Astyanax mexicanus: one gene and its partners. Each later gene encodes a partner of the first gene's protein in a complex. Links are inferred from orthologs where the notes say so. Each region holds a gene or a part of one and is shown on either strand. Other genes may lie near its edges. The genes, in order: ran, ipo13b, exportin-5 and sirt2.

Evidence for each region.
Region 2: the proteins of ran (region 1) and ipo13b are in contact, whole or in part, in a crystal structure (PDB 3ZJY), measured with the Homo sapiens proteins. The link is inferred for Astyanax mexicanus from reciprocal best matches to the Homo sapiens genes RAN and IPO13. Residues at the interface, in NP_006316.1 of Homo sapiens: Lys37, Lys38, Tyr39, Leu43, Gly44, Val45, Val47, Pro49, Trp64, Gly74, Leu75, Arg76, Asp77, Gly78, Tyr79, Ile81, Gln82, Asn103, Arg106, Asp107, Arg110, Val111, Tyr147, Trp163, Arg166; in NP_055467.3 of Homo sapiens: Leu33, Tyr34, Tyr35, Ile39, Lys42, Gln46, Leu49, Met50, Gln53, Glu73, Tyr76, Phe77, Ser80, His83, Ile84, Ile118, Thr121, Arg122, Val125, Val172, Glu175, Glu176, Thr179, Ser414, Asp415, Arg784, Asp785, Pro787, Asp788, Pro829.
Region 3: ran (region 1) and exportin-5 share a complex: the UniProt entries of both Homo sapiens proteins name them as parts of the nuclear export receptor complex. The link is inferred for Astyanax mexicanus from reciprocal best matches to the Homo sapiens genes RAN and XPO5.
Region 4: the proteins of ran (region 1) and sirt2 are in contact, whole or in part, in a crystal structure (PDB 5FYQ), measured with the Homo sapiens proteins. The link is inferred for Astyanax mexicanus from reciprocal best matches to the Homo sapiens genes RAN and SIRT2. Residues at the interface, in NP_006316.1 of Homo sapiens: Phe35, Glu36, Lys37, Lys38, Tyr39, Val40; in NP_036369.2 of Homo sapiens: Phe96, Arg97, Glu116, Phe119, Gln167, Ile169, His187, Ile232, Val233, Phe234, Phe235, Gly236, Glu237, Ser238, Leu239, Phe244, Gln265, Val266, Gln267, Pro268.

The regions. Positions count from the first base shown.
Region 1 is NC_064417.1:22,958,010-22,965,216, forward strand, and holds the start of ran (GTP-binding nuclear protein Ran), read right to left. Parts: upstream 3,006-7,207; 5' UTR 2,882-3,005; intron 1,119-2,881; 5' UTR 1,079-1,118; coding exon 1,046-1,078; intron 615-1,045; coding exon 530-614; intron 143-529; coding exon 17-142; intron 1-16. Other genes in the region: ndufs8b (NADH:ubiquinone oxidoreductase core subunit S8b), read right to left, coding at 4,036-4,167, 4,321-4,449, 4,946-5,118. UniProt on the Homo sapiens protein: GTPase involved in nucleocytoplasmic transport, participating both to the import and the export from the nucleus of proteins and RNAs. Switches between a cytoplasmic GDP- and a nuclear GTP-bound state by nucleotide exchange and GTP hydrolysis.
Region 2 is NC_064408.1:63,507,959-63,515,561, forward strand, and holds the start of ipo13b (importin-13), read left to right. Parts: upstream 1-4,591; 5' UTR 4,592-5,173; coding exon 5,174-5,245; intron 5,246-7,603. Other genes in the region: uncharacterized protein LOC103033886, read right to left, coding at 893-965. UniProt on the Homo sapiens protein: Functions in nuclear protein import as nuclear transport receptor. Serves as receptor for nuclear localization signals (NLS) in cargo substrates.
Region 3 is NC_064432.1:27,056,988-27,063,997, forward strand, and holds the start of exportin-5, read left to right. Parts: upstream 1-3,990; 5' UTR 3,991-4,246; coding exon 4,247-4,348; intron 4,349-6,080; coding exon 6,081-6,202; intron 6,203-6,330; coding exon 6,331-6,403; intron 6,404-6,495; coding exon 6,496-6,633; intron 6,634-7,010. UniProt on the Homo sapiens protein: Mediates the nuclear export of proteins bearing a double-stranded RNA binding domain (dsRBD) and double-stranded RNAs (cargos). XPO5 in the nucleus binds cooperatively to the RNA and to the GTPase Ran in its active GTP-bound form.
Region 4 is NC_064411.1:44,563,971-44,571,193, reverse strand, and holds the start of sirt2 (NAD-dependent protein deacetylase sirtuin-2), read left to right. Parts: upstream 1-4,205; 5' UTR 4,206-4,360; coding exon 4,361-4,376; intron 4,377-4,577; coding exon 4,578-4,624; intron 4,625-5,813; coding exon 5,814-5,865; intron 5,866-5,959; coding exon 5,960-6,070; intron 6,071-6,641; coding exon 6,642-6,683; intron 6,684-6,837; coding exon 6,838-6,944; intron 6,945-7,039; coding exon 7,040-7,096; intron 7,097-7,223. UniProt on the Homo sapiens protein: NAD-dependent protein deacetylase, which deacetylates internal lysines on histone and alpha-tubulin as well as many other proteins such as key transcription factors.

The DNA of each region.
Region 1 (7,207 bases):
CAAGCAAGAGATATACCTTGAATGTAGTAGCCATCTCTGAGACCACCAAACTTCTCCTGTCCAGCTGTGTCCCATACATTGTATTTGATTGCCCCTCTGTTAGTGTGGAAGACCAAAGGGTGTACTTCAACCCCCAAAGTGGCTGAATGGAAAAAGCAGATAAAAAAAAAAAAAAAAGGTGTCATTACAAACAGATGTAAATAAGTGCACAGACCCGCAGGGTAATGAAAACAATACTTAATTATATACACAGAAGTATTTACACAAAAGATTTTTTTAATTAAAAGACATGCTTAAAACTTGATTTACTGTTTTAACTGACTGCACAATGTTTACCTACCCTGCAAAGCCTGACATACTTAAAGCTCCCCAGCACAAACCTCCCTCTATGTGTAATGGGGCGATTGAGTCACACTCAGGCCACAGTGCTCAAATGAGCACTTCTGAGTTTGAGCACATTCGCTGGAATATAGTAAAGTTCTAAAACAGGCCTGTATACAATTTTTTACAAGTCCAAAGCCAAACTTACCAACATATTTCTTTTCAAACTCTCCTGTCAAATGCCTCTTTACGAAGGTGGTCTTTCCCGTACCTCCATCTCCTACAAGAACCAGCTGTGGGTTGGAAAAACAGTTAACAACTACAAAAATATTAAAATGTGTCTTAAAAGACACACTGCTATACTGTACTGCAATAATTGCTCTGAGTGCTCTGGCTAACAAGCAATATTAAGACAAGCTTTGCCATTTATGATGGTATGAATGTATACAGGAGGGTCTTTTTAGACAACCAGAGACAATTTATCTGTCAGTAACTTACTGTGATAAACGTTAGATATTTAATTCAGACATCATAAGCTCATTTCTTGCTTCAGAACAAATAATATGGCTATGGCTATTCGCCTCTCAACTTTTATAAGTTAATAAAAATGGGGGCATGGCCCTTTAAGCTGACTTCATAAGTTTGTTCAGTAGAGTTGAGGTTTTTTTTTTAAACAATGTTTCCTAAAAGGTCACCAGTGTAGTTTATTAGATGAAATACTCACCTTAAACTGAACCTGTGGGTCGTTTTCTGCCATTGTTGGATGTGTGTGTGTGGGTCTCTGACGCAGCGCGACTCTGCGGGAGAGATGGCGGGAGGGTTAATACAGGCAGACAAAAGGCCGGAGAACAATCCCCCTCCCCACACGCGGTGTCGGGCAAACCCAGTGAAGCTGCGGGACGGGCCTGAGCGGCCTGAGCAGCCCGGCATCAATCAACCAACCACCAGAACGTCTGATAAAGGCGCCAAGCAAGAGCGCAGTAAATGCTAATGAGCTAGCTTAGCTACACGTACAGCACGCTGGGGCCGCGTTCACTACGCCTCACATATTACATCTATGGCTAATATGAATGGTAGCTCTGCTATAAGCGAGTCTGAACCGGTTCCGACCACCGGGTTCGAGTTCAGTCCGGATGGGAGCTCTCAGAGCCGGTTCTGCTGGTTGGTTGAGCGTCATGTCGCACAGCTGCCGCGCTTTTCTAGTTCTCACCAGAAGCAAATCCATCCAGTTAGCTTAGCCAACGCTAGCCTGCTCTCTTTCCGCTGGCTAATGCTAACCGGCTAACTGTTCGCTACCAATACTGATGGGTAATCCAAGTCCAGAAAGTAAAAATCCACCCAAGGATATTTTGTTTCAAAACACCCGGGTACTTTCTATAAAACTATTTACAGGCAACTAAATATAAAAATGTTTTAGCTGCCACGAAATATATTTTGAGAGCTCAAATGTAACACTGTTAGCTAGCTACTGGGGCCTCAAATTAGCCACGTTACTAGCTAGTAGTCAATAAGTAAGTTTGTAGTGAACAGGAAATACTATATGCAATAGCTATATGACAAGCTATTGGTCAAATTGAGTTGTAGCCACAACAGTAAAATTTAAAAGGAGGTCATTAGGTAATATAGTGGCCACATTTAGTCTGCAGAAGACCACAAAAGCAAATTTATTTAATTCAACAAAAATATATAGGCCACACATTAAGTTAGCTGAATTGCAGGGACTTCTTTTAAACGGTGTATTAAAATCTTACAGGGAACAAAAATTTGTTTCAAAGGCCAAAACATAGCTTAGCTACGGTAGTTAGGTTAACATACTGAGCCCACAAATTAGGTGTTAAGTTTAAAGTTCTCCTAAAATGATTGATCACAAATAAGGTTTTGGTTAGTTTACATGAAGCCATATGATAATCGATTATGGCCAAAAAAAGGTTTGAGGCAATAAAATACTACATGGATGACATATTGAGTACATTAGTCACAAGTGAAAAATACACACGCAAATGTAAACAAGTGAAAATGATTTAAAAGCTATCTAGAACGCACAGAACAATATATCAAGGTAACTAGCGTGGCTTATATCTAGTTAACGCAAGCTGAGCCGATGAGCTGCAGTACAGCGATACAGGCGGTCGGATTAAAATCCTGGGATGGACTTCTACTCGCTGGATGAGGACTGTCCTCCTTTAGAGCTACCGGACAACAAAACAAAAAAGAGCGCCGGATCTCAGAAAGACCAGACCCCTCCAATCCAGTCCTCCACCTTACATATACCCTACAGCACAGGACTAACACCCAAAATTACGGATTTATAATAAAATCAGGGAACGCAATAACGTAATCGCATCCGCGCTAGCATTAAGCGCTAACCTGCCTAGCCACACGATGCTACCGCGTTAAACCGAGCCGAGCCCGCCGCTCTAAAGGCCTGATCTAACCCGCGGATCCGCTGAATCGGTGCCGCAGCGGGGCGCGGGAGGCTGAGCGATGTGTTGCGGTGTAAACGCGGGGTGTGTGTGAGCGCTAAGGGCTGATTCTGGTTCCCAGCGCGCGCAGTTCCTACCTGGACGCTCGTGCTCCGCTCTGCCGCGCAGTGAGAAAAGAGCAAATGGCACCGAGCGCGCGACTCTCAGCGCGGCCGCATTAACGCTTCCGCCCCAAGCACGTGACCAGGCAAACCCGCGCGCAGTAACGCGCCCCCGCCTGGCCGCTTTCTGCAACAGCAGCAACCCTAAACTTTCCCATGGAGCAGGTACAGAGTGCAGGGTGGGGTTTGTCTTGCCTTTAGACCAAAGAACATTGCATGAACGTTGTTTCTTAGGTTGTATTACATCTTTTAAGGTTGTTGCATGAGCGCCCATTAAATCTGAGGGAGGCGTTCCCCTTGCACATTGCATAATTATTCGTTTGGAACCACTCCACATTTAACATAAACTATTATATAGCTTTTTGAATGTATTTATATTCGGTTATTTAGATACAGTTTTGTAGAACATTCTAAAAAAAAGTATACAGTAATTTATGTACACCCCATTCTTATTATTATTTAAATATCCATTTTACACTGCACGAACAGAGTACAAGCTATAAGAATACAATACAAACAATATGTACATTATTTACTGCAAGTTAATCCTAGCAACACATATAAAACCATAAAATCACAAACTGCTGGATCAGCTGAGATGGCATCAAAATACTATACTTACAGACACTTCAGACTAACAGACTAAAACTACAGACTAAAACTAACATTAAGGACATGAGAAAGAACTGTTCGGGTACTACAATAACTTACAATAACGATATACATTACTAATTACCAATTCTTTCTCTAGTTTTATTAGTAATATGAATGCTACTGATAAAAATGTCCACATTATCTATGCCTTTCACTCAAAAAACACACACAGGCACACAAAATATTTTTTAAAGTTTTATTTCTGAAAGTAAATCTATTATAAAATACAATAATTACACTTCATTCATTGTGTACTTGTGTACATTTGTGCGTGATTATTAAGTTCCTGAGAATGCGATTAGTGATGTTTCAGTTCATTACCTTGGAAGTTTGAACCATACAATGAATTCTCCTACACTGGGTGCACTGAGTGCTTCTTAGTATACACTGCAATTATGGCTGTAATAAAGAGCAGACAACAGATGTATTTTCTTAATTCTGATGGTTTGCATGTATTGCTTCCTGTTCAGGGCTGTTTATCTGTACAGGTAGTCAGCCTGGATGTTGGCAGCGATCTCAGCCTCCCAGCGATCTCCATTATTCAGCAGCTTTTCCTTATTATAAAGCAGCTCCTCATGTGTCTCAGTGGAGAACTCAAAATTAGGACCCTGAGAGAAAGGGGGAAAGAGAGAAGCGAGGTGAAGAAAACAGTAAAAGTGAAAATGGAGCATCTCTGTGTGTGTGTGTGTGTGTGTGTGTGTGTGTGTGTGTGTGTGTGTGTGTGTGTGTGTGTGTGTGTGTGTGTGTGTGCATGCGCGCACCTCCACAATTGCATCTACAGGGCATGCCTCCTGGCAGAATCCACAGTAGATGCATTTTGTCATGTCAATATCATAGCGAGTGGTTCTTCTGCTGCCATCAGCACGGGTCTCTGCTTCTATTGTGATAGCCTGCAACACACACAAACACACACTTTACTGTTTAGGTCCCAACTCTTATCTGTGTTTTTATTTCTTACCAATTTATTTACATTACATTTTGCACACATAAACACTAACATGCCATAATTTTTGCCATATCCCAAGGTATCAAAAAACGCAGCACTTGTGCATTGAATATGATGTGATTTCTGCCAGAGTCACTTGTCTGTTTGCCAGATGCTGCCGGTCACAATCATTACCAGCTATTGCACAGTCCGCTGTGGGTGTTAATGCCCTCTATGATGTATTCTCAGTGCACACATGACTGTGCAATTAAGAAATGTTAAATGCCCACACAACTTCAGAAAGGGAATGTCCCATCCATTTGCACCCACTCTTAGGCCTCACTCCATCTCATATACTGTAGTTGTATGTGTATGTGTAATACTGCACTGTAATAATGCTGTGTGTATGTGTGTGTGTGTGTGTGTGTGTGTGTGTGTGTGTGTGTGTGTGTGTGGTATACCTGTGCTGGGCAGATGGCCTCACACAGTTTGCACGCGATACAGCGCTCCTCTCCGTTTGGGTACCTGCGCAGCGCGTGTTCTCCACGGAATCGAGGGGACAAGGGTCCTTTCTCAAAGGGGTAGTTAATGGTGGCTGGCTCTCGGAACAGGTAACTCATAGTCATGCCCAGTCCTACACACATATAAACACTTACAAATGCTTTTATAAAATCTCTACTTCATAATATATTCAGTCCTTCTTGGCCACTGAACTGGTGTCAGTGAAGGTGATCTAAAATGCCTGATGCACTAAATCCAACACAGGTCACACAAAAATTACTCACTACAGTAAGAAACATTGTTAAATGGTTAAGTAATGTTTCAGCAATATTAGCCTTCTAGCTGTTGTTTGGCATTGGGTATATTGACCTTAGGCTCATGTGTGGCTGGTGTCAAACATCCCATTTAAATTATGTTCTGGCACATACAGTTGTGGTCAAAAGTTTACATACACTTGTAAAAAAACATAATGTTATGGCTGTCTTGAGTTTTCAATAAGTTCTACAACTCTTATTTTTCTGTGATAGAGTGATCGGAACACATACATGTTTGTCACAAAAAACAGTCATAAAATTTGGTTCTTTCATAAATTTATTATGGGTCTGCTGAAAATGTCCCCAAATCTGCTGGGTCAAAAATATACATACAGCAACAAAATTTGTCAATTTTGGTGATGTAGCGAGTTGTGTCAATCAAATTAGCTTCATGTCATGGCCTCTTCACTTCTTGTAAGTGATTCTGATTGACTACAGCTGTTGACTTCTCATGAGCCCATTTAAATAGGGCTCATTTGACCCAGTGATTAGACTCAGCTACAAAAGCTACAATGGGAAAGTCAAAGGAACTCAGTGTGGATCTGAAAAAGCGAATTATTGACTTGAACAAGTCAGGGAAGTCACTTGGAGCCATTTCAAAGCAGCTACAGGTCCCAAGAGCAACTGTGCAGACAATTATACGCAAGTATAAAGTGCATGGAACAGTTGTGTCACTGCCACGATCAGGAAGAAAACGCAAGCTATCACATGCTGCCGAGAGGAGATTGGTCAGGATGGTCAAGAGTCAACCAAGAATCACCAAGAAGCAGGTCTGAAAGGATTTGGAAGCTGATGGAACACAGGTGTCAGTCTCCACAGTCAAGCGTGTTTTACATCGCCATGGACTGAGAGGCTGCCGTGCAAGAAAGAAGCCCTTGCTCCAGAAAAGGCACCTTAAGACTCGGCTGAAGTTTGCTGCTGATCACATGGACAAAGATAAAACCTTCTGGAGGAAAGTTCTCTGGTCAGACGAAACAAAAATTGAGCTGTTTGGCCACAACACCCAGCAATATGTTTGGAGGAGAAAAGGTGAGGCCTTTAATCCCAGGAACACCATGCCTACTGTCAAGCATGGTGGTGGTAGTATTATGCTCTGGGGATGTTTTGCTGCCAGTGGAACTGGTTCTTTGCAGAAAGTAAATGGGATAATGAAGAAGGAGGATTACCTCCAAATTCTGCAGGAAAACTTAAAACCATCAGCCAGAAGGTTGGGTCTTGGGCGCAGTTGGGTGTTCCAACAAGACAATGACCCAAAACACACATCAAAAGTGGTAAAGGAATGGCTAAACCAGGCTAGAATTAAGGTTTTAGAATGGCCTTCCCAAAGTCCTGACTTAAACCCCATTGAGAACATGTGGACAGTGCTAAAGAAACGGGTTCATGCAAGAAAACCATCACATTTAGCTGAACTGCACCAATTCTGTCAAGAAGAGTGGTCAAACATTCGACCTGAAGCTTGCCAGGAGCTTGTGGATGGCTACCAAAAGCGCCTAGTTGCCGTGAAAATGGCCAAGGGACATGTAACCAAATACTAATGTTGCTGTATGTATATTTTTGACCCAGCAGATTTGGTGACATTTTCAGCAGACCCATAATAAATTTATGAAAGAACCAAATTTTATGACTGTTTTTTGTGACAAACATGTATGTGTTCCGATCACTCTATCACAGAAAAATAAGAGTTGTAGAACTTATTGAAAACTCAAGACAGCCATAACATTATGTTTTTTTACAAGTGTATGTAAACTTTTGACCACAACTGTATGATCTCCACTCCAATGGTACTGGACAAAGCTCCATTACTCCTGAGAACACAGTTCCACTGCTCTACAGCCTAATATTGGAGGTCGTCATCTTCATCTTTGCTAGGCATAGGGAAGGGTGACCTTTGGATTATTTATTTATAGT
Region 2 (7,603 bases), on another chromosome or scaffold:
AGAAAAAGAAAGGAGACCAAGAGAAAGAAAGGAGGAGAAAAGGGAGAAAGAGAAATAAAAACAATAAAGATGTAAATAAATGAACAGTAAATTAACAGCAAAAGACAGAGAAAGAGAAAAAAAAAGACAGAAGGGGTAAATAAAGGAAAGAAAGACACACAATGAAGGAGAGAGAGAGAGAGAGAGAGAAAGAAAGAGAGAGAGAGAGAAAGATAGCAAATTTTAGTTTTAAAGAAGAAAGGAGAAAAATAGAAAAGGGGTTATAAAAAAACTGAGATAAGAAAATGATATAAACTATATAAATACAGAAGAACTGAAAATTGAGGATAATACGTAAGAAATAGGAAAATGAAAGAGCGAGAGAAATGTAGAACCTTAAAGGAGAACTCCGGTGTAAAATTGACTTTTAGTGTAGTAACACATAGTAAAAAGTACTAACCTTTGTTAAACAGCACACCTCCAGTAATTTCGTGCTTTTTGCCCAGCACTCTTTACAACGGTCGTATCAGGGCATATTTTGCCCAGATAAATCGCTTTTTACATAGTTATCCAGGCTCAAAGTAGCTCCACACCTCATTGGTAGAATCCGGAGAGCCTTGACCTTTAATTTGAGGCATGTTTTTTAACAAAGAAAATGACTGTATATCAGAAAGCTGCGGGAAAGCGGTGATGTGCTATTCAACAAAGGTAAGTCATTTTTAATATGTTATACTACACCCAAAGTCAATTTTACATCGATGTTCTCCTTTAACGTGTGAAAATCGTTTTAAAATTAGTTTTAATTATTTTAAATCTCTTAAAAGTCTATTTGGCATAAAGTCAGTCGCACTATAAAAAAACTAAATATTTCACTCCAGTGGAATAAAACTAGAGAAATGTGGTGAACTCTTACCTCTGGCGAGAGAGCAGCAGCAGCAGCAGAGCACCAGAACGGACAGAGCAGCAGCGCTCACTGGACCCTTCATCTTTCTCTCTCTCTCGCTCTGTTTATTCCTTCTTTTGGTGAAATAAGAATTAAAACAGCTGAACTAAATCAGTCTGGAGTGACCCGGACTCTGCGCGCGCTATGTGTCTGAGCTGTGAACTGAGTGAACTTCAGTCTGTGAGGTTTGTTGAGTTGTTGAGAGCGCTCCGCTCCTCTGACTGAACCTAGTGTTCTCTGCCTCTCTCTCTCTCACTCTTTTTCTGTCTGTCTCTCTCTCTCTCTCTCTCTCTGAGCTCATGTGCCACGTGTTTCACCCTTCAGTCCTACGGCGCTCAGCTGTTCAAAACAAAAATCGAGCTGTCTCCATCGCAGAGGATCTCACCCGCGGGCACGGTAACTCACAGCGGCCTCGGTTCAGTCATACGGAGCGGAGAACATCTCAGACCTCCCAGCAGAGCTCCCCTCTCTCCTCTCACCTCACCCAGTATCCCACTGTACAGCACCGGAGCTCCGGGGGCGAGCCAAGAGCGGACTGAAGCAGGACACGCCCTCAGACCCCCCTCCCCCCCCCCCCCCCCCCACACACACAGCAACGTCAGGCTCTGTTTTGTGTTATTTGGTTGTTATAACATATACTAGTGCATCTCAAAACATTAGAACATCATTAAAAAAGTTACTTTATTTCTGTAATTCAGTTTAAAATGTGAAACTCAAATATTATACAGATGTATAGAGTGATCTATTTTAAGCGTTTATTTCTTTTATTGTTTATGATTATAACTCAAAAACAGTTTCTCAGAAAATGTTCTTATTATATAAGATCAATTGATACGTTTGGCAGTGTGGGCAGTGTGCCAAGTCCTGCTGGAAAATGAAACCTGCATCTCCATAAAAGTTGTCAGCAGAGGGAAACATAGTGCTGTAAGATTTTTCAGGAAAACACTGCACTGACTTTAGACTTGATAGAACACAGTTATCACACAGACCAACATCAGCAGATGACATGACTCTCCAAACCATCACTGACTGTGAAAACTTCACATAAGACCTCAAGCAGCTTGGACTGTGTGTCTCTCCACTTTTCCTCCAGACTCTGTTCACATGATTTACAAATGAAATGGTAAATTTACTGATGGTCAGTGATGGTTGAGAGCCATGTCATCTGCTGGTGTTGGTCCACTGTGTTAGGACCAACATCAGTGCAGTGTTTTCCTGGAAAATCTCTGACAACGTTTATGGAGATGAGGATTTCATTTTCTAGCAGCAGTTCTTGAGATGCACTATGGGATGTGTATGGGTCATTGTCAGAATACTGTGCCTTGAACATGAATAAAAAAAATCATGACTTGAATGTTTTTAAGACTACACATATTTTCCCAGCTTAATCACTACAGGACAGGGGTGGACAAATTTAGATTAACTTATCATCTGATGTAAACCTGGTTGATCTACATTTGCAAACATTTTAAATTGTTCATGGTACACTTGTTCTGTGTAAAATATACATTTTGATTTCCTAAAATTATTTTAGGAATAGAGAGACAATATAAGAAACATTAAGTGAAATTAATATTATTAATGGCTGGTTTGCTTAGCAAGTGTCTTCATGTAGTCCCATCAGAATCAAACAGTATGAAGTATGTGATAACACTGATTTCAAAGGTTACTTGCACACCGCAGCCTCAGCTTTCTGTTCTTGGCTAACAAAAATAGGAGCTGTAGTGGTGTTTTGTAATGATGTTCTGTTGTCATCCGTCTCTGTGTTCAAAGTGTTGTGCATTCAGAGATGTTTTTTTAAGATCAGTGAGACCATGATGCTGAACCAGCATGACCAGCATGAACAAGCATGACCCAAAACAAATGCAACATTATGCTGCAACATATGTGAAGCACATAGTACCAGCATAAAGTAGGTTTTTGAATGCATAGCCAACTTGTCAACCACTTTGACCATCAAAGATGCAGCCCATCCAAAACAGTTGTGTGCAGAAGCTGGTCTTAAGATGGATTTTCGAGAAAGCTTGTTGCCTTTCTATCAGCTCACCCAGTCTGCCTATTTCTCTGACCTTGTTGACCTCTGTCATCAATAATTCAATGTTTATTTAATGTCATTTGCTAATGTAATAGGCTAAAGGTTTTTAGTACTTGTTGATCAGTCCTGCACACCACCTAGGAGGAATTTAGCCCATTCCTCTGTAAAGAAAAGTTTCAACTCTGAGATGTTGGTGGGTTTTCTCACATGAATTTCTCGCTTCAAGTTTTTCCACAACATTTTGGTTGAATTAAAATACTTTATTTTCTGGAACCATTCTTTAGTAGATCGGCTCTTAGTGCTTAGGGTCTAGTGCTTAGGATTTATTATTCCATCAATGAAGGCAGGCCATCCTGGCCCACATGCAGCAAAAACGAGCCCAAACCATAATACACTTACCACCATGTTTTACAGGAGGGATGCGATTTTTATGCTGGAATGCAGTGTTTTCCTTTCTCCAAACATAATGCATTTAACTTAAATCAGAAAGTTATGTTTTGGTCTCATCTGTCCAAAAAAAAATTCTTCCAAAAAGTTGTTTAGTGTTCTTCTTATAGTAGTCCATTTACATTCACACCCGATTGTCCTCCCATTGATTGGGAGCACCTAATTTCATGTTTAAACTAACCGCTTATCCTAAAGGTTCACATACTTTTGCTAATTATAAAAATGTTATATTTGATCTGTTTCCTTAATAAATTAATGAGCAAGTACAGGGGTTGGACAATAAAACTGAAACACCTGGTTTTATACCACAATTATTTATTGTCCCAACTGACAGTTCTGGTGGAAACAGGACAGTTGACGTGCACATTGAACTCTTCCGTGATTTAGGCAGCCGTGGTTTTATGTTTTTTGGATACAATCTGGGTTAGCACCCGAACATCCCTTTCAAACAGCTTCCTCTTGCGTCCACAGTTAATCCTGTTGGATGTGGCCCGTCCTTCTTGGTGGTTTGCTGACATTATGCTGGACACCGTGGCTCTTTATACATCACAAAGACTCGTTGTCTTGGTCACAGATGCACCAGCAAGATGTGCACCAACAATTTATCCACTTTTGAACTTACTGTTGCAATTTGCCATTAATGAAGATTGGCCACCAGGCTGCTCCAATTTAGCCATGGAACTTCCCACACTAAAATTGACATATAATAATTATTATTTTTTTCATTTGTTTAACTTCCGCTTTATCTACTTTTAGTACATTTGTGAAAATCTGATGATGTCCTGAGGGGTTCACAGACTTTCAAGCACCACTGTATGTACACTTGGATGCTCAGCACAGACTTGTAATTTTTCACCAGAAACACACGGGGACGCCATTACACTGCACGTCAGAAACCGAGAACCCGTCTTTGAAATGCGACGTTCTACAAAAAAACTACACTTCCCAGAATGCAGCGCGAAGGCCCCTTTTTAAAAAAATGTACACTGCCTACATCAAATTAAAAGATAATTTAAAATGTATGAGCACATTAATGTATTGATATATGTATGTAAAAGATTAAAATATTATTTAATATAACATGAATTATATGTTATAGAAATGAAACAAGAATAGCAGTAGTAGTCGTTGTATCGTTGTATTGTTAGTGCACACATATTAAATTAAGGAGCCCTTTGTTTCTGTGTTGGGTTAGTTAACGCTCACTAATGGAGTGTGGAGATTTTTTTAGGAGTAGTGTTAATAATGTGTGTTTAAGCTGTGCTGTGTGTTTGACGGGTTTGACAGGGTGAAGTCGGTCAGGCGGTGTTCAGAGTGAGCAGAGAGAGAGGGAGAGAGCGGGCGGGGAAGCAAAGAGAGACACAGAGAGACTGAGAGCTAGTCCGGAGCGTCTCGCCGGTTAGAGGACAGATACAGACACGGGCAGGGTTTTACACCTAGTTAACTACTCTACAGAAAACTATACTGTCTTATAATGTGAATAGTAGACGCCGGACTCACACAGAGCCGCGGTGTAGACGGGGTTTAGGGAATAAATCATGGTTGTTTCTTAGCTAAGCAGCGCTAGCGCTAGTGGAGGCTCCGGTGTAGCTAGGTTATGTTAGCTCAGCTCGCTCTCTCTCTGGGCTTGTTTTAGGGTGAACAGAGAGGAGCGGCGGTTTAAACTCAAGTTAAATCAGAGCTGTGAACAGTGGTGAAATTATCTCGGACGCCGGTCCCCTTCGCCCCGTGTGCCCGGCCGCTGACGGACAGTCAGACCGGCAGAGAGCATGGACACGCAGGGGAGGATAGCAGCCAGCCCGGCGGACACAGCGGACTTCACCGTGGAGAACGTGGAGAAGGTAGGTTAGCGGTTAGCCGACTAACCGCCTCTAACAGACCGTGTTCTCCTGTGTGAAGCTTAAAACACACACACAAGTTAGCTCAGCTAGATAACATAGCTCTGGTTTTCCAGCATATACAGTTCTGGAAAAAATAAGAGACCACTTAAAAATTGAGCTTCTGTGATTTTACCTAATTGAAAGCTTCTGCAATATAATCAAGAGGAAGATGGATGATCACAAACCATCAAACCAAGCTGATCTGCTTGAATTTATGCACTAGGAGTGGCATAAAGTTATCCAAAAGCAGTGTGTAAGACTGGAGGAGGAGAACATGCCAAGTGCATGAAAACTGTGATCAAAAATGAGGGTTATTCCACCAAATATTGATTTCTGAACTCTTAAAACTTTATGAATATGAACTTGTTTTCTTTGCATCATTTAAGGTCTGAAAGCTCTGCATCTTTTTTTGTTATTTTAGACATTTCTCATTTTCTGCAAATAAATGCTCTAAATGACAATATTTATATTTTGGATTTGAGATAAATGTTGTCAGTAGTTTATAGAATAAAACTTCAATGTTCATTTTACTCAAACAATTACCTATAAATAGCAAAATCAGAGAAACTGATTCAGAAACTGAAGTGGGCTCTTATTTTTTCCAGAGCTGTATAACTAGGTAGACACGAATCAGACGAGTTTACTCAGTTATTAAATCTCAAACCTGAATTTGAGTATAGTAGCTAACTAGTTAGTTAGCTTAGCTAGCTATCTGTTATTACTAGGAGAAGTTCAATATGCTTAAACCCCCTTGTTACAGTGAACTACTACATTATAAACCATTTATTATTTCCAGCTAAGAACAATAACAGCAGCCAACTCAAGCTGGTCCAGCCGGTTGACCAGTTTAGCTCTAGGTTATAGGTTGTGTTTTCATTGGAGTGTTATAACTATTAAAGCTGATTAGCTTGTCTACCAGCCTGGTACCAACCAGATTGGTTGTCCAGTTCTGTCAGGACCGTTCGTGGACCAACGTGTTCAGATGAGCAGAGTAGTAATACTGCTCATATAGTTTATAGATAGATTAGTCATGTTGTGTAAACGGTGTGTAAAAGGGTGGATGTTATGGCAAAAACATTTTTGATGTTTGATTTCAATGATGCATTATTATAGGAATATTTGAGGTTGTAACAGTAATATTCACAAAGGAAGCCAAAGTGTTGGTCAGCTAGTTGACTTAGTATTTCTTTGTGTATCGACATGCTTTGCTAACCTGTATGAGGGTTATGAGTGCCAGATGTGGTTGCTGTGTTCTAACTACAGTCAGTTGATGAGATCAAGAGAAAGCTAGATTTATGGCAGCTATGGAGACTGAGAAAGAACAGAAACATTATTAAGACTTGGTCATTGGAGACTGTGCAGTAAGGTCCGCAGTTTAGACAATTTTTTAATTTGCCCTGTACGATCTAAAGTTTACACCTTAAGTTACATCATAGAGCTGACTAACATATTTATTTTCTAAATTAAATTCCTGTATATTACATAGCTGAGAACTCAGTTTCAGTTTTCTCATGCAGCCAGTGTTGCTTGACTGAGTCACCAACCATTAATTTTATGCCACCATCTGGGCTAGGCAGAAGCAAATGTATCTGATTAATATCTAGTCATTAATCGTTGATTAATATCTGCTGGTGCTATTAAAAGATTTTAATTCCAGTCAGGTAGTTTTCTATGCCATTGTATATACATGGTTCAACCACACTAGTAATACCGTGTTTCAGAACCAGATGCTGTTGTCAGAGTGTCCAGAACATAATGTACCATGACAGGAGAGAAGCTTTCCTTACACAGTACACTGTGCTCTCCATGTGCCACTGTCTGTTAAAACACATAATTTACTGGACTCTTACTGTTAAGTGCAGTCCATATTTAAGTGCTTTGTTTTGTCTTGTATTACAATGCACTGAAACACCCACATTCAAAGACATGATTGACAGAATTTTTAATCTATGGTTACTTGTCACAGTATGACAGCCAGGGATGAGCTGTAGCTCAGTCGCTCTAATTATGCAGACATGTGTCTGAGTTTTTTTGTAAATAGCAGATTATAATTTGTGATTTTATTTTGCTCACAGGCTGTGTGTGGTTTAGACCTCCTCACTTGTGAACTGTCTTGAGAAAGTTTGGCATGATTGAATAGTATTTCAAATTCTCAGACTCTGAGAGAATTTAAGAGAGGTAGAGTGGAAAACATTGGCTCTTAAACATTTTAGATCATATACCACCCACAACCAAACAAAAGAGTCAAAGGACCACCTTAAAAGTCATCCACAGGATCATATATGAGCAAACTAGGGGTGAAAGAAATAGGAAAAAAAT
Region 3 (7,010 bases), on another chromosome or scaffold:
ACAATTCCTTTTAAACTGTAAATGCTCGGCTACTTTATATAAGGATCACCATAAATTAAACTGCAGCAAATTCATAAGAGCCAACTGAATCGAACTTCTTTGTTTCGGATCATCTCTGTCTTTACTCTTAAATAAATATAATTTCTTATTATAACAGTACATTAAATACATTCTTAGAATATATTGTAAACTTGTATATTCTACTGGCAAAATATTTTATAATGATGTTTTAACATATATCGATATATAAAATCCAGCAGCATGATTATCAGTACTCTTCACACCTTTGACATTTGCTTAATAAAGTGTGGGAACAAGATGATAATAAGTGGCCACGACTTAAACTGGTAAGAAAAGAGCTGGTGTGATCTTTATCTTTATGTGAGACTTATTTTGTGTAAAGAAATTCACGAACATGTTCTGTATAGAACTGTATAGTTCCTATTAATAATAATAAGCATGTTTGATATTTTTATAAAAACAAACGACAGCCCACCAATATTTGAATATTAAAACATATAAAAAATATTTTAATTCAAACGTTTCTAGTTTTTGGCCAAAAAAACTTAAAACACTCAATTCTTACAATGTTTTAATAATTAAAAGTAAAACAACAGTTGATGTACTTTGTCCTGCGCACTGAATCAGACATGTGATTCACCGAAACTGAATCGGTTCGTGAAAAGTGAATCAAACTTTCCATCAGCAGGACCAGCCCGTTCCTGAGTGACGTGGAGCGGGAGGGGGAGCTCGAGCTGGAATTTCAGCTCCACCCCGCGAGCCACACACACACACACACTATACACACACACACACTATACACACACACACACACTATACACACTACACATACACACACACACTATACACACACACACACACACTATACACACACACACACACTGTACACACTACACGTACACACACACAGATACACACAGTTCTTCGTAACTGATGAACTCTGAGAACTGTATCAGATTAAGTCTGTATTTGTGTTTCTGGGTATTTTAGTTTAGTAAATATTTAGTATATAACAGCTCTGTCTCAAATCGCATTTATTAATTTATTATAGTTAGAAGAAACTGTTTAACACAGACTGAGAGAGTATATCTGAGTAAATAAATATATTTAATCTCAGTTCATTTAATCTAAGTTAAGAAGTGAATTTAATTTGAGAAAATTAGTAAATCTATGAGACTATATTTAATTAAGCTGTATACTGAGTCGACTTAAATACATTTATTTACAATAAGTAAAATAGTCTGAGTCTGATAGATTGTTTGTAAATAAATGAGCATCTCATTACATTTGTAATTAAATATTGAGTAAAAATAGTAGAATTAGTATGCTATGCGAGTAAATGTACGTACAATAGTACAAATTAATTATTTTAAATGGAGTACATTAATAAATTAGTACTTTTTAATAATAAATAATGAGTAATTTTAATAACATTACCGTGTTTACTCAAATTACATTAATCTACTCCCGTAGATCACTGTATTTACTTAAATTTCATTAATCAACTCTACGTGATTTTAAGGCACTATAAACTCCCATAATGCATCAGGATGTATAGGGTTAAATGGCAATAATTAAAAAGCAATATCCTCTCTTGGTCTCGTTATTTCCGCTACAACTGAACAATCTCGCCGCTTTTAGACTCTTTGTCTCGTCATTTCCGCTACAACTGAACAATCTCGCCGCTTTTAGACTCTTTGTCTCGTCATTTCCGCTACAACTGAACAATCTCGCCGCTTTAGACTCTTTGTCTAGTTATTTCCGCTACAACTGAACAATCTCGCCGCTTTAGGCTCTTTGTCTCGTCATTTCCGCTACAACTGAACAATCTCGCCGCTTTAGACTCTTTGTCTAGTTATTTCCGCTACAACTGAACAATCTCGCCGCTTTAGACTCTTTGTCTAGTTATTTCCGCTACAACTGAACAATCTCGCCGCTTTAGACTCTTTGTCTAGTTATTTCCGCTACAACTGAACAATCTCCCCGCTTTAGACTCTTTGTCTAGTTATTTCCGCTACAACTGAACAATCTCGCCGCTTTAGACTCTTGGTCTCGTTATTTCCGCTCCAACTGAACAATCTCGTCACTTTAGACTCTTTGTCTAGTTATTTCCGCTACAACTGAACAATCTCCCCGCTTTAGACTCTTTGTCTAGTTATTTCCGCTACAACTGAACAATCTCGCCGCTTTAGACTCTTTGTCTCGTCATTTCCGCTACAACTGAACAATCTCGCCGCTTTAGACTCTTGGTCTCGTTATTTCCGCTACAACTGAACAATCTCGTCGCTTTAGACTCTTTGTCTAGTTATTTCCGCTACAACTGAACAATCTCGCCGCTTTATGCTCTTTGTCTCGTCATTTCCGCTACAACTGAACAATCTCGCCGCTTTAGACTCTTGGTCTCGTTATTTCCGCTACAACTGAACACTCTCGCCGCTTTAGACTCTTGATCCCGTTTTCTGCGCTACAACGGCGCATTCTCGCAGCTTTAGACTATTTAGCTTTTAGACTCTCCTTAACACAGTGTCCCTATGTAGGTCACACTCCTGAGGGAGTGTCTAAATTCACTCCTGTTTTTACCGCTACTTAGTGAACTAAACAGTGTCTCACTATATAGTGCACACTAATGAGGGCGTGTCCGAATTCACTCCTGTTTTTACCGCTACTTAGCGAACTAAACAGTGTCTCTCTATATAGTGCACACTAATGAGGGAGTGTCTAAATTCACTCCTGTTTTTACTGCTACTTAGTGAACTAAACAGTGTCTCACTATATAGTGCACACTAATGAGGGAGTGTCCGAATTCACTCCTGTTTTTACCGCTACTTAGCGAACTAAACAGTGTCTCTCTATATAGTGCACACTAATGAGGGAGTGTCCGAATTCACTCCTGTTTTTACCGCTATTTAGTGAACTAAACAGTATCTCTCTATATAGTGCACACTAATGAGGGAGTGTCCGAATTCACTCCTGTTTTTATCTCTACTTAGTGAACTAAACAGTGTCTCTATCATTGACAGTATATATTAACTGGACCAAGCCATCCCGCTGATTTCAACGGAGCCAGGTGAGGCCAATCGTGTCACTTCCTGATCGGCGTCTCGTGGGGCGTTAACCGGGAAAGTGAGAGATTGCGCAGGCGCCAGCATGACGCGAATCTTCCGCGTGCCGTGCAAACAACCGTACTGTTTATAGGAGCTGCACAGAACTATTAACTCCACAGTGAGAAAAGCTCAATTCCGTCCTAGAATGGGGCTTTTATTAAATGAACAGCAGATAAAAACTAGAATTACTGATATCCAATATTAGTCCACGGATTTACTGAAGAATATTCATAGTTTGTCTATATAACAAGCATTTAGAAACTCAGTAATAAGAATAATAAATGTGTAATATAAATTACAGTTATATCTATACATTATAATTCTCATAGTCTATCTTATTTCTATTTACTACTATCTTACTATCTACAATGTATTATAACTGATAGTAGTAGTATTATATTTGCATAATAAGAGGTTACTTTGACCCTGCTCTAATTCAATCAGCTCTGTACTTTTAAATTAAGAGGAGCAACTTCTCCAAACATTACAGCACGGTATTTTGGGTCGCTGTCTTTTTACGTCATCGTTAGCATAGTTGTATAAAAATTTTATTTTCTAAAGCCATGAACAGATTATTAATCTTATGGATCAAATTGCAGAAAATCCGTTCTTTGTAGAAAAGAACACGGGTCGTGTCATAATCGAAAACGGCTTGGAAATACATTTATTATTGGTTCAAAGACACCCCGAAATGAATGGAAGTGAATGGATAGCTTTGCTCTAATGGTCCTCTCATTCCTCAGCAGCACACTTCCGGTGGCACGTTTTGGAAGGGAAAAGCTGGGGGCCTGGTCTCTATATATAGTGCACACTAATGAGGGAGTGCCCGAATTCACTCCCGTTTTTATCTCTACTTAGTGAACTAAACAGTGTCTCTCTATATAGTGCACACTAATAAGGGAGTAGGGAGCCTTTTCGGTTAGAGATGTGTTCACACGTGATTGCTTTGCGCATGCGTATTGGGGCTGGAGCAGAGGACGGCACTTGTGTAGTAGCGTGCTGTGCTGCATAGTAGTGGTGGTGTATCTGGATCTGGTTGTGTGTTGTGCTGGTTCTCCTGCTTTCTCCGGTGGTTCCCCGGGTGTTCTCTCCGCGTCCGCGCGCTCTTCTCTCCGCTCAGTATGGATGATCCGGTTAAATCGATGTGTGAACAGCTTATTAAGGCTGTGAACGTGATGATGGACCCGGACTCCTCGCACCAGTATCGCCAGGAGGCCCTGAAGGTACCCGGTGAACTCGGTGCTGTGCCGAGATTTGCTGCTTTGCCAAATCCTGCTACCGTTGTATTTATTTTATTGCTTAAGCTTCAAAAAAAAAAGTCTGGATAACTAGAATTAACATGCTTAAATGTATGTGTAAGATATGTGAACAATTTTTATCAATATAAATATGAGTTAACTGAATGTAATGTAAGTGAAGTGATTAGTGTTTTTTAGCCGCTTATTTTTGTTATTTTATTAATAATTATTACTTTCATTCACACGTGTCCAACAACTTCCTAAAGCTCAGACTTAGGTTTAATTCAGACATATATATAGTAATTAACCAGAAATATTAAGAAAAACACGTTTAAAACACGTTAAAAGATGTTGAAAAAAACGAACCAGCGCATGCGCAGAGACGTAGGGAGCACATATCGACGGGTAGCACAACTCAGCGTGACGCACTCCAGCTAGCTCACTGTGCTAATCTTTATTAATGGAAATTGAGAGTTTTGCTGATTTAAAACTCATTTATTTCAGTTTATCTAGGTTATCTATGTGTGATTTTAATATTATTTATTATATATATTTTAGTTGGTTATGTGCTTAGCTTGTTAGCTTGCTAAGTTCTGATGATGTTCTGCAGCTAGCTGGTTAGCAATCCTTACAGTGCACAGGTTCTGCAGTTTATCTGGTTCTGGTCCAGTGTGTGGTTCTGTTATAATGTTATATAAACACCTGTTTATAAGATTATGATTAGTATTATTATTAAATATTATCTGTGTGTGTAGCTGTGTGTTTAATGGGATGCTATAGCTGTGGGTTAGACACCTGCAGTGTTTAGCATCTTCAGCTGCACGTGTGTGTGTGTGTGTGTGTGTGTTATGATTTTTATTTTAAAAGCTAATTGAAATACATTTCGTGTAAAGTAATAAATTAAATAATGCATTGATTTGTGTAGGGAATCTGAACTAATATATTTAATTTTGAGAACAAATCTGAGTTGAGTAAACATCAAATTGGTGAACTAAATTTGAGAAAATTCTCAAAATGTTCATAGCAAATTTGAGTAAATTAATAAGATTGTAAAATCAAGATTTAGCTGCTGATGCTGCACATAAAACTCTTTGTGCGAATAACGCAAAAGTGTTTATATACTTTACCCAGTAATTCAGAGCTAAGAAACAAATGTTTTAGAATTAAATGTTTTTAGAATTAGTCTATGGAGATAAAACACCACCAGCCAAGTACAATTGAGATAGGTAGGTGTTTAGATGTTTAGAACAGTTCTGTTTACACTCGTTAAAAGCAAAAATTCACCCCGGTGTGGATTTTTACTTTCTAGACCTGGACTACCCACCTCTGTGTGTAACTATAGGGTTTAAATAGGATCTCCGGTGGATTTGGTGTTTTACAGAGACTCTAAGACTAGATCAGGGGGTGAACTGCACTTAGCAGGGTATTATTACACATGTTGTAAAAATGTCTGTTTTAAAACATTTCTGTTATTCGTCTTGCTGCCTTCTGTTGCAGTGCTGTTAGCCAATCAGAGGTGATATATTTGCATGTATGAATAATTATGAGCAAGAGCCGAAATCTTATTGCCTATATCACCTAGTTGTCCAGTTGCTGCACCTGGAGACAGGTGCGTATAGAACAGGTGTGGTGAACGAGAAGGCGGAGCTTATTAAAGATGCATGATCACTGTAATGCTAACAGGCTAACGGCTCATTGTCTCTCTTTTTGTTCTCAGTTCTGTGAGGATTTTAAGGAGAAGTGTCCGTTCTGTGTGCCGTGTGCTCTTCAGCTGGCTGATAAATCCCAGACGCCGGTGGTGAGACACTTCGGTCTGCAGACGCTGGAACACGTGATAAAGTGAGTTCTCCCTCCAGCTCCCCCCGAACCCCTGCAGATACTGTAGATCCTCCTCCTCAGAGCTCTGATTGTTTATTTAAAGTTTTATTTATATTAGCTCTTACACAGCGTCTGTCTGCTTCACACAGGTTCCAGTGGAACAACATGCCTCAACAGGACAAGGTCCATCTGAAGAACTGCTCCATGGAGCTGCTGTCATGCGTGAGTAGAGGAGGAGGATGGTTTGATCTGCTCAGAGAAGCTGATTTGTAGAGATTTCTCACTGATTTTTGTGTTTTTTGTGTTGATTTCAGGGAACCTACCCCATCCTGGAGGAGGAGAGTCATATTAAAGACGCTCTCTCGCGGATCGTGGGGGAGATGATAAAGAGGGAGTGGCCTCAGCAGTGGCCTGATATGCTGACGGAGATGGAAACGCTCACTTCATACGGGGTATGTGGTGGGACTTTTTGTCACCTTAGCGCTGGACGATATGGCCAAAATTTATATTGTAATATATTCCTTAATTTCGGTCGATATGTTATAATTTTGATATCAATATAAATACTTTGAAGGCCTTAGAAAAACTGCTAACAATCCCTGCAATAGAAATCTACCTACTACTGTCTGAAAATTTAATTTAAGTCTTTAAAGCCCCTCTCTCAAAACCTATATAATATATATATCATCGCTGTCCTATGAAAAACACTCCATTTTTGTCTATTTTTAGTTTACTACATAATTTGAACAGACAAACTGTCCCTCACGCTGCGCCAAAATTTCTTTTTGGGCTCCTCTAAAGATTTTCAATAGGGTTTAGATCTGGAGAC
Region 4 (7,223 bases), on another chromosome or scaffold:
TACTCTAAACTAATTTAGAGCTTTACTTCCAAAGTGGGAGAGGGCCAACAAAAGGATGTAAAGTGATACTAAACAATGAGAGCAGCGTGCAACTAACTCATGACTGGGTATAAAAAGAGCATTTTAGAAAGGCAGAATCTCGCAGAAGCAATTGTAGAAAGGTTTTCCCCTACACATTGGCACGTTGCAACAAGACAAGCAAACCAATCAGTTGCCTAGGGCCACCGGACCATGACTAAGAATGAATTAAATGCAACTGAAAACCCACTTAAATTGTGACTGCCAATACAGGCAAGTAAAACACTGTTATTGGAATTGTGCTATGAGCCCCCAAATGCCCTGCCCTTCTGTAGGTGTTAAAAGTATTGTGGCCTAAACTCTATTGGAGTGCATTGAAACTTTTACATTTTCTTTTAACCAAAAATTCAAATTTTCCTTTAGGTCTATTCTGTTACAATTGAACAGTACTTAATAGTATATTTTCACACCAGCTGCAAGAATGCACATGGCCCTTTTTTTCTGCACTGCCAAAAATCCATTGGCAAAAACTAGACATATATATGCAAATTAAGACATATGTATATTAATCAAAAAATATCTGCCAGTGGGGTAAGCAAAATATTCTTTGTAAGATTTCTTACAAAAAGCAATGGCAAAGTATCAGAATGAGTGAAATGACACCTAAGCTCAAGCCAAAAAAAAAACAAAAAAACACACTATTGCTGCTTGATTGTGCTTATTTTGAGTTCAAATTACTTAAAGTACAAATTCTAAAATGATTAAAGATAATTATCCCTAAGATAAGCAAAATAATCTAACACTTACAATGCTTAGTAAGACCAAAAGTTTTATCAGAGAAGAAATAAGATTTATTGCCTTAAATTTAGAAAATTTCACTTGCTAAGATTTAGTTTTTGCAGTGTGTTGCGCTCCAGGACTGCCAATCAATTCATTTCAGTAAATTAAAGCATTTTCCCAGCAGGTGTTTGCTATTGTTTGTGACTAAACCACTGTTTTGAGGAATTGCTACTTTAAAACATTAGCCATGTTGAGCAAACCATTTCTAGCTGGTCATTAGTACTGCTATGATAAGTTAACAAGCACTTCTCTTTTGAAGTAACTTAATTTTACTACTACACCATTTCTGTATCATTTTAAAGTTTAGGAATCATTAACTTGCTAAATTAACTGTCCTTCATTACCTTTGTGTACCTCTTAGCATTTGTAGAAAAAAAGGGCCTAATGTTCAATTAGCTCAATTTAGTTTCACACCAGATTTCTCAAACAAAACAATCCTTACTAAAACATTTAAATTTACAGGAAAGAAAGTTATACAAGACACAGAACACTTACAAAACAGTTTATTACTTGCTTTCATAAATCACTCTAAACCACAAAACAGGAATTGAGCAACAAAACCAAACAGACCACAAGACAACAGACGAACAGCTTCAGGTATCTTCATGCAGTTCACTGCAATCACGAGCAAGAGTATGGGGACTGGAACAGCTGCAGCACAGACAGCATTAGAAGATTCACCTGAAAAGGAGAAAGTTGATCTATTTAGTAGGATTTTACTACTTAATGTCAAACAAATAAGTTAAAAAAACAAATAAAAAAAAACATCAAAGTAACATTAAGGATTATATTTTCTGTAGTAATACAACATGATCAGGATTAATAATCATATTAAGGAAACATGCTGAGTTAAAGCACTGGCAGCTCTTATCAGCAGAGTCAAGACAATGTCAATGTCTGCATTTTTTAATTTTCCTTTTATTTTTTGAATGCTAGGCTAAACCAGGTGCTAACGTACCTCTATTAAGCTCAATTAATTGCTAGCTTGATCAGTCACCTCAATATATTAATGTATTCTCTTTACACTCAAAGGTTTCTTAGTCTGAAAAAGAATCATCATCCATACTTACCCAGATTTCAACTTCAGGAGCAGCAAACAAGTCATGATATTACCAGCTGGCTTTTATAGTCTCAGGATAAGTTGGAGCATGCCCAGTGTGGGCCACATGGATTGGCCCATGTTATAGGGGGATGCAAAGTAAATTATTGTTATATTTTTCTTTTTTTTTCTTGATGTATCATTGTTTTTTGTGTCTCTGTTATGTTTATATGTACATTGTGACATCTTGTAGTTAATGAATGTGTATTTATTCAAGATGTACATATGACTGTAATGCTGTTATAAATTATTGGTTCGATTGGTTCGTTCCTGTTCATTTGAACCAGCATAGACAAATAGAGGTCTTTTTTTAATATTAATTGAATAATATTTGGTTTATTTTTATTTTTCCACGCTTTCCAACTAAACAGGCATTGCATAAATTGGGCTTTTAAAAGGCAAAATCATATTAGGTGAATAATAAATTGTCTGGAAAAAGATTCAATCCTTAATTTTCACACTAGAGGGACATTTGGGGGCCAATAAATGACCAAACAACAACCTTTTACATTTCACCATTTGGCTGCAGCATTTACACAACATACAGCACATTTACACTTTTATATTTATAAAAAAAAAGACAGAATCATAGAGAACTTGCAACTATTAAAAGTATAAGTATTTACTTATTGGAAATTTCAGATGAAGCCAGATAGAGGTAAGTACTGTTTCCTACACATTCAAAAAACTCTTGGAAACTGGAGAAAACTGGTACAGAAAGAGTCATGTCTGGCTGATCCACATGGCAATGCCCTTAGCTCAGTTTAAAGGGGCACTAAACTGGGTGATGTATGGGTTTAGAGGCAGTGTTTGGGCCATACAGCACCTGTATCACCATAGGACACACTTGTTTCTGCACGAACCACACTAATCTAATTTATTACCGCACACTTGTAAATAAAATTGTTCATTGAGACATAAAAATGAGTTTTATGTGACTTTGCCTTTTCTCTGAATTGAATTGCAAAAAAAGATTGCACAAAAATAAGAGTGACTGTTTTGTTACTGTGTGCAACATATATGCATGTGTCAGATCTAATTGTGGAAGAGAAGTAAATCCTATAATCCTTATTATAGAGTGTGGGTGTGTGAGAGCTGGATTCTGCATTGAGGAGACCATGCGGTGGGAGATGAGGGAAGCATGAGAGAGGTACAGTGATTTGCAGGCCAGTATTTCATTTTTCATGCTGTTGATATCCTAACTTATTCACTTTATATGTAGTTAAACTGTTAGTGGCTTTATAAGATGTAGCAGTGGTGTAACAATAATAAACAACTAATTCCTCCATCCCATTATTCCAAATGCCTACAGTAACATTTAAAACTTTTTAAGATTAATAAAGGAGGTGTTTTTTAATACTCCAATGGTTTAATTTGATAGTAAATGGGTCTGCATACTGTCTATGTCTAAGCCTGTGAGCTTTTAGTATGAGAATCAAGTGTATTTTACTAAAAAGTATGCCATGTCTCACTGCAAGAGACTCAAAAAATCACCATAATTCATTTTAAGGTGGAAAATAAAAAGAAACCAATTCACTCTGCATTTTCTGGATATCTTTGGATTGGAGCTTTGATGTAATATATTCAGTCTTCTTCATGGGCATTAATTTACAGAAATGCAAGCTTTTTTATTTTCTGCTGGCTACAACTTAACTATTTCTTTCCCATGCCTTAATAAGTCGTGGCTATGCCTTAGGATCTCATTCCCACTCCTTAATAAGCCGTGATGTCACCTTCATCCGTAAGATAATTTTTTGGTGCCAAATTTTTTTCACTTTTTACTTCCCAACTTTTTACTTCTCTTTTAATTTAATTGATCTTATTAATTATAATTATCTTATTACCACACATTAGGATCTCATTCCCACTCCTAAATAAGCTGTGGTCACAGATTTTTTTTAAACATGATGTCATTTGTATGATCATTTTTTGGTGCCGAATATTTTAAATTTTTGGAGCGGGAATTATTATGGACACAATATGAAATAATAATTAATTATTTTATTAGTATTATTATTTAAAATAAGCCACCCCCTTGAAGGAAACTGTATCAAATGTACAAAAAGTATTGCAAACTGAAGATTAATAAGTCTCTAAATCTGTAATAATGTGTTTATTCAGAGCTAATATTTAAAATGTATTGATATACAGTGTTTGTAGGAAATATTGTTAAGCTTTATAACCATCTATAGATCCTGCTCATGTTGTCTGTGGTGTTTGAGTGCGGTCAGTTCTTGTGTGGAACATTAGCATAGCTCTGCTCCAGTTTTCACCCGGGCGGAGAATCTCGATGCACAATAACAAATCCCTTTAAACCAGCAGAAGTGAGAAAGAGTTTAAACGATTTAATAAAGAGTGTAGGTTAAAGCTGAGGCGGTTAGTTAGGTTAGCGAAGACGGATAAATGTCTGAGTCTGGAGGTAATGCCTTATATAACCTGATAACTAGGTTTAATAGTTGTTTTGTTGACGTGTTTTTTGTTTTGTTTTAAAAAGCGTTATTAGCCAGTTAGCCCTGCTCCTGTAATGCAGGTCACAGTTAGCTGAGCTATTCTGATTATTAGCCTGATAAGCAGCAGCGAGGACAGATTTTCTGCTAATACTGTATATTTTCTCTTATAGACCAAACTAAAAGAGAAGAAGAGGAGCCTGACACACCAGATTTTGAGGTAATAAACGTAGCTCATGACCACCTAGCTCAGCTAGGAAGGTAGCCAGTCCATTCGGTCTCCTTTCCTGGATTAATTCTCTTTTGTAAATGTCGATGACATTATCTCTCTCTCTCTCTCTTTATATATACAACTCTGTAAAAAAAAATCAGACCATTTCAGTTTCTGAATCTCTCTGATTTTGCTATTTATAGGTATATGTTGGAGTAAAATAAACATTGTTGTTTTATTCTATAAACTGCAGACAACATTTTTCCAAAATTTCAATTAAATATGTTGTCATTTAGAGCATTTATTTGCAGAAAATTAGAAATGGATGAAATAACAAAAAATATGCAGAACTTTCAGACCTCAGTTAATCAAAGTTTTCATGCATCTTGGCATGTTCTCCTCCACCAGTCTTACACACTGCGTTTGATAACTTTATGCCACTCCTGGTGCAAAAATTCAAGCAGTTCAGCTTGGTTTAAAGCCTTACACCGTGGTTGGTGTGGTGCAGTAGATACCACCACCACCTGATTATGAGCTAAGTTACCACTTCATGTGGGAGACTGGGGTTCAATTGCCGGTCTGGGTGAGTATGCTGTGATACACTAACAGGAGTCCAAATGTTGTAAATGTATAGTTGTAGAGGAACACATGGAATTATTTTATTTTTCTTATAAGTGGCTTCATTTAGCTTTGAGGACACATCTGCACACTCTTGGTATCTTAACCTCAGTGTCTTCATGAGGGACAGTCACCTGGAATAGTTTTCTCAGCATCTTGAAGGACTTCTTTGAGATGCTAAACAATAGATGCTGCTTTTCCTTCACACTGTGAAGCTCCAGCTCATCCCAAATCACCATAGGTTTAATAAGATTTTTTAATTAGGTTTAGGTCAAGGGGTTGTGGAGGGCAAAAGCTTTTTTGTATACTACATAATTCAATATATGTCCTTTAATTGCTTTCATGTCTTTAATATTATTCTACAGTGTATAATGTACACTATTTCCTGACACAACTGTCTAGTCACTGTACAGTATACTGGTGAAGCTATTGAACGTATATTTGATTTCCATTCTAATGAATGGGTTTCCAATTACCCTTGTAGTTAGTATATCAACAGTCCCCAGGTATTTATGCTGTATCCCTATTGATTAGTTACTGGCTAGTTGATCGATCTGTTTTCGTCAATTCTTTAATCTAGGCTGAGTCTGACGATAGCAGTGACGAAGGAGAAGCCTCTGGAGACAGTGAAAGTAGGTGTCTGTCTTGCAAATCTTGTGGATAGTAATTTACAATCTTCGTTCTACAGCTTTTGAATTAAACTTGTGTTTTCTTCCCTTGTTTTAGTGGATTTTCTCCGCAATCTCTTCTCTCGAACTCTTGGCCTGAGTCCTGAAGAAAAAGTCCTTGATGACTTGAGCCTTGAGGGAGTGGCTCGATATATCCAGAGTGGAAAATGTAAGTATTAGACTTGAGTTTTTTGCTTGTCTTTACAATTTATGCTTTCTGACTTCTATTACATGAAAATGATTGCTAATTTGTAATAAATATATGCAAAGCAATGCAGACTGGTGGACACAGGCTTTTGGACTTGTTGCTGATAACAGTCATCTATTTCTTTCACAAATAAAAATAGAATACTGGAATACTAATTTGTCTGACCACAGTACACGTTTTCACTGTGTACCAGAAGCCTCAGAGTTGATGCCACTTGGTTAATTTAAAGCTTATATTTTGCACAGCAATGTTTTAAATGGCATTTATGAATGTAACTTTGTAATTATATTAGCTATTTCATTCAGTTTTTTTATTGGTTGAAAAGATATAATAAGATATAATAAATTGATTAGATGTGAAGCAACAGATGGACTCCAATCTGTGAAGATAAACCTCAGTTAAGAAACAAGTTATTGCATTGCAGTGTGTATATAATAATAATAATAATAATAATAATAATAATAATTTTTATATTTTTAATATACTAGTTTAATCAAACATTCAAATCCTCTTTGTGTTAATTTGCCTTTAGGTAAGAACATTATCTGTATGGTGGGTGCAGGAATTTCGACGTGTGAGTACACTAATATCATGTCTCTATATTGTTATATTAATAGACAGCTGAAACAGCTGATTACCAAACGTGCAAACAACCAAACTTGCTTCTAACTACTTAGTTAATAATACGTATTCACAGCTTTAACATTAGCTACCTCTCTCACATGCAGCTGCTGGCATCCCTGACTTCCGCTCCCCTGGAACCGGCCTCTATGCCAACCTGCAGAAGTACAACCTGCCATATCCTGAGGCTATCTTTCAGATTGACTATTTCAAGGTCTGCCTTTAATAGTGAAGCCAAATGTAATGTGCTTAAATTAACTGGGTTTGAACTGACTTAAGTTTCTTGTTTTACCCTCCTCTCTCCACTAGAAACACCCGGAGCCTTTCTTTGCTTTGGCCCGGGAGCTGTACCCAGGACAGTTCAAGGTATGATTAAATGGGAAACACCATGGGGGGCAGATTTGAATAAAGAATGTATGCATATCCTGACATGCTAAAAGTTATGGGATGGTACAATGTAAAATGATCATAAAGTGGTACCTCAAGAGATGGC